Linked DNA regions of Sus scrofa. The protein of the gene in region 1 purifies or fractionates together with the protein of each later gene. This does not show direct contact. Links are inferred from orthologs where the notes say so. Each region holds a gene or a part of one and is shown on either strand. Other genes may lie near its edges.

Evidence for each region. The genes of interacting proteins can lie anywhere in the genome.
Region 2: the proteins of GATAD1 (region 1) and KDM5A purify together in Homo sapiens (affinity purification with mass spectrometry; 6 studies listed by BioGRID and IntAct, with this or other methods). This does not show direct contact. The link is inferred for Sus scrofa from reciprocal best matches to the Homo sapiens genes GATAD1 and KDM5A.
Region 3: the proteins of GATAD1 (region 1) and MORF4L2 purify together in Homo sapiens (affinity purification with mass spectrometry; 4 studies listed by BioGRID and IntAct, with this or other methods). This does not show direct contact. The link is inferred for Sus scrofa from reciprocal best matches to the Homo sapiens genes GATAD1 and MORF4L2.

Annotation. Positions count from the first base shown.
Region 1 is NC_010451.4:72,366,831-72,370,330, reverse strand, and holds the end of GATAD1 (GATA zinc finger domain-containing protein 1), read right to left. Parts: intron 2,490-3,500; coding exon 2,299-2,489; 3' UTR 267-2,298; downstream 1-266. UniProt on the Homo sapiens protein: Component of some chromatin complex recruited to chromatin sites methylated 'Lys-4' of histone H3 (H3K4me), with a preference for trimethylated form (H3K4me3).
Region 2 is NC_010447.5:67,713,344-67,717,610, forward strand, and holds the start of KDM5A (lysine-specific demethylase 5A), read right to left. Parts: upstream 2,801-4,267; 5' UTR 2,355-2,800; coding exon 2,190-2,354; intron 1-2,189. UniProt on the Homo sapiens protein: Histone demethylase that specifically demethylates 'Lys-4' of histone H3, thereby playing a central role in histone code. Does not demethylate histone H3 'Lys-9', H3 'Lys-27', H3 'Lys-36', H3 'Lys-79' or H4 'Lys-20'.
Region 3 is NC_010461.5:84,563,505-84,567,483, reverse strand, and holds the start of MORF4L2 (mortality factor 4-like protein 2), read left to right. Parts: upstream 1-1,179; 5' UTR 1,180-1,319; intron 1,320-2,443; exon of another isoform or gene 2,444-2,724; intron 2,725-3,979. UniProt on the Homo sapiens protein: Component of the NuA4 histone acetyltransferase complex which is involved in transcriptional activation of select genes principally by acetylation of nucleosomal histone H4 and H2A.

The sequences.
Region 1 (3,500 bases):
AATTACCTTTACCAGGGATAACTGGTAGAAGTAGGCTTTTGATTAGCTGCCCAAATTGCCCCAAAGCAGGATGCTAGCAATCTTTTCCTCTCTTGGTAGAAACTGAAGTCTTTATCAGCTGAATTTTATATGCTAAGAGAACTAGCCGGAGCAGTGCTTCTCACTTCTGGCCACACATCAGAATCACTTGTGTCTTCTACTAACACTGTGTTGGAGTAGAAAGCTCTATGTAATTGTTGAAATGAAACAAATAAATACAAAGTAAATACATTGTGAAATATATGTTTTAATCCCAAAGTTTGAATATTAGCATTTAGTTATTTACAATGGTATTTACAATCAACTTACCTATAACTTCTGTTAAGACAGAGACAATTATGTACAAAGACCTTATCTGTCCACAAATACAAACAGTAACTTCCCTCCAACATACAAATTGTAACTGTGTAGAAAAATGGTAACAGTTAAAACTGCTACAACTCAAAATCATTATGATTCCATTAGATCCTGACACATTTTCCTGGGGTTGAGAAAACACGGTGAAATCAGGACAAGAGAAGAGGCAGGTGTGAGCAGTCACCACTACCTCCCGCTTTTAAGTTGTTGCTCCCTTACTTAGCTGAGCTACACTTGAAGTAAAAGCTGAATAGTGAATAGAAAACCTGGGCCTGGCCTTCTAAGACCAAGACATTGTTTTACGCCTGGTATTATGAGGCTGCAGCATATAGTTTTAACTTTGGGTGGACCTTTTTTTTTCTTTTTGGCTGCACCCACAGCATGTGAAGGTTCCTGGGCCAGGGATCAAATGGAGACACAGGTGCAACCTATGTCACAACTGTGGCAACGCCAGATCCTTAACCCACTGCACAGGGCTGGGGATCGAACCCATGCCACCAGAGACAACCCTGGATACTGAACCTAGTGTGCCATAGGGGGAATTCCTGGGGGTGGACGTTTTTAGATATCTATGTCAATTAATCATTGCTATAACTGCCCAATGTTTACTCTAATGGTGGCAAGAAACTACTGCTCTGGGATGTCTAAATAGTATGTTTCCTGCGTGTTTTTAGGCAAGTTGACTGCACTATAAAACTTAATATATATTTTTTTTTATGTCTTATTAGGGCTGCACCCACAGCATATGTAAATTTCCAGGCTAGGGGTTGAATTGGGAGCTGCAGCTGCCGGCCTACACCACAGCCACAGCAATGCAGGATCTGAGCTGGGTTTGCAACCTACACCACAGCTCACAGCAATGCTAGATTCTTAACCCATTGAGCAAGGCCAGGGATCGAACCTGCATCCTCATGGATACTAGCTGGGTTTCTTAGTGCTGCACCAGAATGGGAACTCCTACAACTTCATGTTTTGACTGGAAGCTTTGCTCTGATTGAGAAGTGAGGCTAGTGAAGGGAAGCGCTACTAAGATCCATCAAGGAATTCCTGTCGTGGCTCAGTGGTTAACAAATCCGACTAGGAACCATGAGGTTGAGGGTTCAATCCCTGCCCTTGCTCAGTGGGCTGGGGATCTGGCGTTGCCAGGAGCTGTGGTGTGGGTTGCAGACGTGGCTCAGATCCCATGTTGCTGTGGCTGCGGCGCAGGCCAGTGAGCTACAGCTCCAATTGGACCCCTAGCCTGGGAACCTCCATATGCCACGGGAGCGGCCCAAGAAATAGCAAAAAGACACACACATACACACACACACACAAAATCCATCAAAATGATTCTGAACACTTGTTTACTACAGAAGAATTAGATGAAAGTTTCTAGAAGCCTGGGCTAATAAAATTAGCCACCAATCACTTTCCTTAAGGTTAAAGAAGCCAACAGTCTGTCATAACATTTTCCAGATGATAAAATAAAGCTTTTTCAACTTGGTGATGGAGACTGTGGATCATAGCTACATTTGATTCGATTCCACCCTTGGTTAGAAATCCAAACCTTAATTAATATTTTATTCTTGTAGAAAAATATAATCCATTTTATGAGTTTCTAGAAATAAATTATGGAGAAAAATAGATACAACCTTTTCCTAAAGTGGCCTTCCTGGAAGTTAGTCTTTGCCTCGGAGGCTACACACACAGGATTTAATTCTTCACTTCAAAATATATTTAATTATTTTCAATCTCTTAGTATTCTAAGTGACTAGCAATAAACAAGCTAATGATTACTGGGCAGTAGGCAAAAAACTTTGTGGCTATTTTTTCATCCAAGAATTTCATTAAAGAAACATGTGGCATATCTCACAGTAACAGTATAGATACAAGACAACCAGAAATCTGGGTTTACTTTTTAAACTACAAATGGTTGGCAACCGTTTCCTTAATAGTTATTGCAGGAGTGGGTCCAACGTGAGTCCATATATAGCCCTTCTCTGGTCTGGTGGGAACTGTGGGGAAGGGTGAGGAACGTGACTTGAAGTATTCAGAAGGTGCGTGACAGACAAATTCCAAGTATTCCATTTTCCTTGGAAGATCCTCCTCTGGTCCTAAAAAGCAGCCAAAGTTCACATTTTTTAACATATATATCACTTTCATAAAATTTTAAAATTCCTAGATACTAGGAGAGACTGGTCTGGTGATAACTTGACCTTAGCCCTTGAAACATATATTATGCTGAAATTACTTTCCTTTTTTTTTTTTTTTTTTTTTTCTGTTTTAATTGCTTGAGGAATATAGCACTCTCAATATAGGAAGGATTCTACAAATATTTAGTCTTATAGCATGTTTATTATGTCTACACTGTACTTTATTATTTTATTTTATTTTATTGTCTTTTTAGTGCTGCACACGTGGCATATAGAGGTTCCCAGGCTAGGGGTCGAATCAGAGCTGTTGTTGCCAGCCTACACCACAGCCACAGCAACGTGGGATCTGACCCTGCATGTGAACTACACCACAGCTCACTGCAATGCTGGATCCTTAATCCACTGATCGAGGCCAGGGATCGAACCTGTGTTCTCATGGATGCTAGTCAGATTTGTTTCCACTGAGCCACATGGGAACTCTCTGAGTGCTTTATATATATCAATACTTTGAATCCTCACAACAACCCTCTGACTTAGGCACTATGATTATTCCCATTTTGCATGTGAGGAAATGAGGCGAGAGAGACTAAGGAACCTGCCTGCAACCACAGAGCCAGTAAGTGGTTGACCTATGAACCATGACAGCCTGGTTCCAGAGTTTGTGTTCTGAGACTTTATGCTACACTGTCTCCTCTGGAACCTGAGGATGGGGAACAAGAGGTGAGACAGAAGCCCCAGAGGTGGTCCTGTCACATCACTGCCTCTGCTGACAATCCTGATTGAAAGTCCACTCTTCTATGTACTTTCCTTTTCTTTTTCTTTTTTTTTTTTTTTTATTATGCTTTTTAAGGCTGCACTCGTGGTGGAGGCTCCCAGGCTACGGGTCAAACCAGAGCTATAGCTGCCAACCTACACCACAGCCACAGCAACTCAGGATCCTAGCCGTGTCTGCGACCTACCCTACAGCTCACA
Region 2 (4,267 bases), on another chromosome or scaffold:
ATTATTTACATCCCAGTTACACCTTCCCTAGTTACTCAAGTGGGATGCAACAACTTCAGGTGTCTCAATACTGTGTCTAATAAACATCCAAGTTTATCAAATTACAAGGAAAACAAAATTTGAAAGAAACAAAAACAGGTAAAATTAAAGCCCCAAAACTAACTTTCAAAAAGTACTTATGTAATTGGATAATGTTTTTTATTCATGTTCAATGTGACACAGCACTTTATAAGACTGTTATATAAATGTTTTGTCCAAAGCCCAGCTTCTGGGCACCCAGATATTCAAAAAAAAAAAAAAAAAGGCAAACCCACAGAACAAGGATAATTTCCAGATTAAAAATGTGCTATAAATGAAATGAGAAAACACATTTCAAGTAGAGTTCCAGACAACATAGTTTGATTTGGCCTAAATAATAGTAAATGCATTTAAAAATGTGAAAAGTAGTCAAAAAATTTTTTATCTTACCTTGGAAACTAAAGAAATCCCCTAATATTGAAATACTGAAATGTTTGTAAACATTTATTTTAAATAACAATTACATGACACAGAGAAGGTATATTATTTCAGTCTTTTTTAAGTAATACAGCTATATTTTAAAAAAATGAACAGTCTCTATTCATTAAGGCGATACACTAGATGAATACATGGGTTAGGAAAAACTTCAGTACTTAAGGTTTTGTCAATATTAGGTAATCTTTACAGAAAAAGTATTAAGTGACAATTAAAAATTTTAAAGAGTTAAACTTTTGGAGGATGACAATACATATATCCTCATTCATCACAGTAATTATTTGTTCAACCTTCTCTGCCAACTGATAGTCTATAATCTTAAATTCATTGAGAACTAGGGGAGAAGCTTGTCTGGGTTTTAAAAACAAACAGACTGATCTAGATTCAAAACTTACTTTGCCACTGCCCAAGATCACATATCTAAGTTATTTAACTTATGCAGATTTGCCTCATCTGTAAAATGAGACCTTGTTTCCCTTCTGGAGCTTCAAACAATATTAAATGAAATAATCTGTAAACGCTGAATTAGCTCCCCCTCTCCCCAAGCCCCCCCCCCCCACGGTCTAAGCTCTTTTTACTCACAGTGCTGCACACACCTCTGGGATAGCCTGTGGCCAGAGCAGATGCTTTTTAAAATACAATGGATAAAAGGACAATATGTTATTTTTATTGCTAGTAGACAGGACATAAAGCAAGGTACTCCTTTAAGAAGCACTAAGGGTAGGGTTCACACACTTTAATGTTCATTAAGCATCATGAGAGTACTTATTGGAAAAGCAGCTTCTAGAACTTTCATATCCAGAAACTGATTCTAGACTGGGAATGAGGCCTAGAGATATGCATTTTAACAAGCATCCGGCTGCCTCCGGTGCAGGTGAACCAGGAATGTCATTTGGAAAGCACTGGTCTGACGAATAGAGAAAAAAACCTTTTGACCTTGAGCAAGTATTCAACCTCTTGGGGCACTAAATTTCATCGTAAAGATTGATATTATAACTAATCCACTGGCAAACCCAGTTATTTGCTATCATCGCGATTCGCAAATCTTTGATTCATGGTTCCTTACAGCAAAAGATTCGACATTTTCTTCCACCTCATTTGACAAATCCTTTCTAAGCCTCTAGATTTTAAAAATAAATGCTGCTGCTGCTCCTCCCCCGAGAAGACTTTTCATTGCAGCAGTAATCACTCTGGGGTTCTTGTTTGGTGAAACCATCCTAAGGGAACAACTAGAGGTTTACATTACCATCTTAAAAACCTCAGCCCTGAGATGAGGCCTCCAAATACTTAATAAATCAAGCATCAAAAGGGCTTGAAGAAACAGCCCACCGATCGAACAGCAGTTTTTACTGTGACACCTTAATAAGAATTATACGCGAGTGTAAAGACGTCGTGTCAGTAACTCAAACACCTTACAGGCCAACGAAAGACCGAAAGCTTTTGTTACCCTTGCCCACAACCCAATAGAGGAAGGAAAGTATCAGTTCCCAAGTTCTAGGCGGAAAGGCCCCAGGGGCACCACTCTCTCGCGTCCGGACGTGCCTACATGAGACCCCAAAGAAACCAAGGCAGAAACATCCAAAAACGCAGCGTCCAGGTGTCGAGAAACCAGGGCAAGTGAACGTGAAAGGACAGAAGGGCCGGGAAGTCAAGCGAACCCGATCAGACTCCGGTACCTTGGGCGGTCGGATTTTGCAGATGCCGGTCTTCTCCGCCAGGGGCCGGATGCGGCCGATGAAGCTGAGCGGGTCTGTGAACTCCTCCCAGCTGGGTTCAAAGACCGGGCACTCCGGAGGCGGCACAAACTCCGCCGCGTAGCCCCCCGGCCCAATGCCCGCCATGGTCGCACAGGGGCCCGCGGCGCAGAGAGAGTAGCTTTGGGTGGGCCCACTGATGGCGCTCACGTCCGCTGACAGGGGCCGAAGCTCATCTTCTCAGGCGAAACCCGCTCAACGCAAGAAACCCTAAACCGCTTCCTCCAACGTTTGTTATTGTTTCCTTCGGGGCTTTTCCTCTCAGGTCGGGGCTCGCCGGAAGTCAGCGTACGACCAAATCCCTCCGCCACCCAGAAACAGGATCCCTCCGCAGCAGTGCCCAGTTGCGCGACCTTCCTCTCTCTCTTTTTCCAGACAACACAGGTCGCTCCTTGGCTCTTCGACCGCGGAAGGTCCGCGCTGCCGACGTCTCCTAGGGCTCAGTCTAGCGGCCCCGTGGCCCCCTCCCACTGGGGCGGTGGGGAACAACCAAACGAGCAGGGCGCTCTTCCGGCGCGGGGGGCTGCGTAATGCGCCGGGGACTGCGTAATGCGCCAAGGGCAGAGGTTCTGCTTCCGGTGAGCGGAACCCGGTTCCCCTTTGTGTGTAGGTGGTCCCCAGGGCGAGCCGTCTGATTTTGCTGTGCTGACTCTTTCACCTACCGTGTATGATTCCAAATAACTACTTTCTCCAGCATCTGTCTCTCTCTCTCTCTTTTTTTTTTTTGGTCCTTTCACTGTTAGTGTCCCTTTCGAATAATCTCGGACACTTTAATCCGCCCCATCTCCATGGCAACAAATTCGGGTCCAGCCCATCCCCCCAATCTCCCGGCTGGCCGGCCTTCGTTACCGTCTAAGAATTGATTTCCGACCACAAAGAAATAACGGCTCTTGAAACTTACTTTTACAACCGTTGATAACCCCCACATCGTCTTAACAGCAATCGCTCTCTTCTGGTAGCAGTGCACCTTGAGACTTTCTCAGTTTGCTCTAACAGCTAGGGCAGCTGTTCCGGCCCTGCTTGTAAAAAACCTCTATGCCAGAGCCCCTCTCCACTTAGTCCAAATTCCGGAAAATGACGCAGAAAAGACTAAAGACGCCGTGAAAGGATAGTTCTTGTATTGAACATCAATCGGAAGACTTACTTCCCGAGGCTTGTTCTCATGCTCCCTGCTCAGTCTAAGCCTCCCCCAGGACCTAAATGGTGATGACTTCCAAATCTCTTATTTCCAGCCTGGACTCCTCTCCTGAGTTACAAGCCAGTACTTCTAGCTACGTAATGGACAGCTCCACTTTGGTGAACTCAGAAAACTTGAACTTGTAGGTCCCCACTGTTTTTTCAGTGTTTCTGATTTCTATGCATGTCTTCATCCTTCTACTCAGTTGCCTGAACCAGAATCTAGAAGTAATCCTTAATTCCTGCTCCTTCACTCCCCACTTAAAATCCAGTGTCAAGTATGGAGATTCTGTCATCTAAAAATAAATCCATTATATATATATATATATATATATATATATACATATACACACACACACATATATATAATAAATATAAATCCACTCATGCCTGTACATCCAAATTATCAGGATCCTGGAGTTACTGTTGTGGCCCAGCAGAAACTGATCCAACTAGTATCCGTCTGGGTTTGATCCCCCGCCTCGCTCAGTGGGTCGGGATCTGGCATTGCCATGAGCTGTGGTGTATATAGGTCCCAGAGGGCAAGGATTCCGCCTTGCTCTGGCTGTGGCTGTGGCATAGGCTGGCAGCTGTAGCTCCAATTCAGTCCCTAGCCTGGGATCCATATGCCGCTGGTGTGGCCCTAAAAAAGCAAAAAATATGTCTGTGTGTGTGTCTGTGTGTATACATACATCAGGATGCTAGTTAAGTTCTCTCTCACCTGGACTCTGATAACAGCTCAGGTCTTGCCCCTATCAAATCCCCCTCCACTCAGTTGTCAGGTTGCTTTGTCAAAAGTCCAGAATTCATCATGTCACTTCCAT
Region 3 (3,979 bases), on another chromosome or scaffold:
TTAATCTGTGAAACGGGACAGAGAACATGCAGGGTGTCTCAATAGAACATGTACTTTTTTTTTTTTTTTTTTTTTTTTTTTTGGCTTTACATTCTGCAGCACCCTCTAGTGGAGTGTACAAAAATAAGCATTTTATTTCTGCTCTTCAAAGCAGTGCTTTTTAACTTCGGTGTGCGCTGGAATAACCAGAACAGTTTGTTATCTGTCGTAACACAGAAAGCCAAACCCTACTCCTAGAATTTCTGACTGGTTAGGTTGGAGGTGAGGCCTGAGACTATAAATTTCTGACAACTTCCCAAAAGGTGATAATGATGCTACCGGTGAGTCTGGGAAACACACTTTGAGAACCTCTGCTCTAAACCTCACCCATTCCCCGGGGGGGGGGGGGGGTGTATGTGTGCGTATTTATGAGCGCATACCTGCGTGCATGCACACATGTATAGGATCTATAACTGAAAGAGGTACAACTTTTGTTTGATTTTGATTAGTATCCATCTAATAAGGATTTTGTGAAGAAGAAAAGAATATCTGTGTGAAGAATATGGTAACACTACCTAAAACACAGAAGGCATGCAAAAAAAAACCTGAAAGCACAGCATATAAATCCCAGGGCCTCAGAACTAGTAAATGGTGGAGTAAGGTTTAAAATCAGGTCTTTGACTCCAAAAACATAATACGGTTTACCAGTACCACTACAGAAAACAGGGTAGAAACACATACCTAATCATAATTTCAAGAGGAAAAGAAAATCAGTTTTCAGTAATTGGGTCCAAGTCCAGTAAAGATGTATGTCTTTACTAACTAAACAAGCCATCTATATTTTCACTTGGGGTGGGGGTGGGTAAGGGTGAGGGAAGCACTTGAAGTGAAGATCCTAACCCCAGAGACGCTTCCAATCTTCATCAGCACCAGTACCTCAAGTCTTTCATCAGTTCTGACTGCCCACCCCTGGCAAAAAAAAAAAAAGGCAAGAAAGAAAGAAGAATGGGAGGGGTGATTTTTTTTAATAAGGAAATGAGGTAAAACATTTGTATCTAGGGCCATAGTCTCCTGATAGAGCAATTAACAGAAATTAAATTGATTTTTCCCCAGCAATGAAATATATATGAGTGATTTCTATAGATTGAAGAGTTCAGCAAATCAGAAAGGGGGGGGGAATCCCATAATTCCAGGGACCAAACAGCCAATCCTTTGATGGAATTTGGCGGCATCTAGTGGCAGATGCAAAAGGTATAAACCTCATCCAGAGAACTTTCTGGAAAATTAACTGAGCGCGTACTTGCCTGAAGAGCACACTGCTTGGAGATCAGGAGTGAAAGGTAAGAGAGCCTCAACTCCTACAGAAATTGGGAGTCCCTAGTGGAGGGGAAGTCTGTTGTATATAGATATTCTCTGCAGAAAATTGTTTGTGCCAAGAGAATTGTACAAAACTTGGGGAAGGGGGGAGGGGAGGGAGCGGGTAAGAGGTGGGGAGAAGGTTATTAGGGAACAGGAAAGAAACTGTTTCGTGGAATTGCTAATATAGGAACGGGAAGGTTCGGCTTTTAACCACTGGAGGGCTAGGGTTTAATACAGGATTTTGACACGGAAAAAAACGTGGGAAGAAAGTGTAATTTTAGGGTTTAAAATTAAATCGATGAGAGATCGAAATATCCCTAGCAAAGACCCTTTATCTTAGTTACGGTCGCCTTGCCTTAACTATTTAATGATTTTCCTTTTCATCAGAACAATATTCAAACCTACGAAAGTAGAAAACGATTCTTACAGAGCGCGCGCCCCCGCACACATCCGTGCGCGCGCGTGTACACACACTCACACACACACACACACACACACACGAAGGCGCACGCACCCGCTCGGCGACACACAACGGCCCCAACGCTAGGGGCGCACGCCTGCGCACACCCGCCTCCAACGCCACGAGGCCTGGCGTTCGCGCATAAGCCATCCCCAAGGCCACGCGGGCTCGCCTGCGCACAAACGCCGTGGCCCTGACACCACACGGCCGCAGCACGCCGCCACCCGCCACCAGCATACACACCGAAACCCCACTCTGCCTTTTTTTTTTTCTCCAAGAGTTGCGCAAGAGGTTGGGGGCGTGGCCCCAGATTTGACCTCGCGCTTCCCCACTCGCGGGAACTTTAGCTCATTTCCGCCCATCCTGTTTCCGCAGGCCACGTAGACACTTCCTTTCCCAGTGGAAAAAAAACCCATAATGCCTCCCTGCAGGAAAAAAAAAAAAAAAAAAGAAAGAAAGAAAAAAAAAAAAAGAAAAAACCTCTGGTCAGAGGAACTCTGGGTCGTGAAAATAGGCCACGTGAACACCCTGCCCTATAGACTTATGACCCAACTGCTGTCGCGCTTTTGGGGGGCGGGCTAAGAACCTAAGAGGGCGAACGTCATTGGCCACAGTCCGCACTAAAGGAGGAAGGTGATTGGTTTTCCTCAAGTCTTAACCGTGAAGAAGCAGGTTGCTAGCACCCGCCTTTACTGCGGCTAAGTGTCATTGCTGACGTGGTGGGCTTCCACCAATCATTTGGTTATGGAACATTCTAAAACTTAGGCAAGACGATTGTGATTGGCTAGAGGGCGTAAGCCCGCCTCCAGGGTGACGTGTCTGCCTATGGATATCAGTTGCCAGAGAAACCTGGCTTTACTATGGCGGTTGGAGGGTCGGCAGTGATCACACGTCGGCTGCTGGAAAGAACTGGATTCTCGTTTCAGGTTTCGGGGTGGGGGTGGGGAGAAAGGGTTGCCGATTTCCTCTTATCGTTGCGTATATAGACAAGATTAACTGATGGCTTCACAATCAGGCAGAGCTAGATTCAAATGCCTACTCGCCAACGCCCAGCTTGGGCTGGCTCCCGTTCTTTCTGTGTCTCGGTTTCCATGTTTGTAAAATGGTGATAATAATAGTATCTACCTCAGAGACGTGTGCCTCAGAGGCGTGTGCTGTATATTAGTGCGTATAACTAACGAATGCAAAGTAATATAATATAATACGCTTAATAACTTAATATGAAGCCTGACTCCGGAAGATATTAGCTGTTATTATGGAGAGAAAAAAACGCGTAATAGAGAAAGAAAACATAAATTATGTAAAGTCGTTCATTATAGTGTTTTTCCTGCCCATCATCTCCTCCCCTAGAAGAAATTCGAGATATAAAAGAGACGTATCAGTTTTTACCGATGGAATAGTTTATTTGGGAATTGCCTCAAAATAGCGGGGATTGGAATTTTCCATATTGAAAAGTTTAAAAAAAAAGCGGCGGGGGGGATGGGGGTGGGGAGAGATGGAGAATGAGCGAGCTGGAGATGAACCACATGCGATGAGTAGGCCTTGTTTGGATCCTGATTCGGACACATTAACTATATTTTTTTAAAAAACTGTTTAAGATGCATCGGGATATTTTGAAGTCGTATTCAAATTCGATTTTTTGGGGGAAATTGATGACGATGTTTTAGACGTTAAAATGGTATTGTGGTTATGGTTTCAAATTGTCTTTAGCTTGTAGCAATATATATGAAAATACGGATTAAATAGTAAAATGTCTGAGATTGGCTTCAAAATATGTTGATATCTATGATTTGCTTCAAAATAATCTCAGCGGTAGGGGGACGTGGGGAGGGGTATAGATGAAACCAAATTGGCCCTAAGTTAATCGTTTAAGCTGAGTGATGGGCATATATGATTTCTTAAATTATACTGGCTTTCTTGGTATATGTTTGAAATTTTCCATAATAAAATACAGAAAGTCAGCTATTCACTGAGCTTGAAAAAAACGGAGTGGGGGGGGAGCAGTGGGTGGGGTTATAGATAAAACAAGATGGCCTTCAGTTGGTAATTGTTGAAGCTGGAGGATAGATTCGCATAGGCTTATAATATTATTCCCTCTACATTTTTATCCATTTGCAATTATCCTTAATTAAAATTTTTTAAAGGCAAAAACAAACTAGTTTATCAGAAATCAGGGTAAAT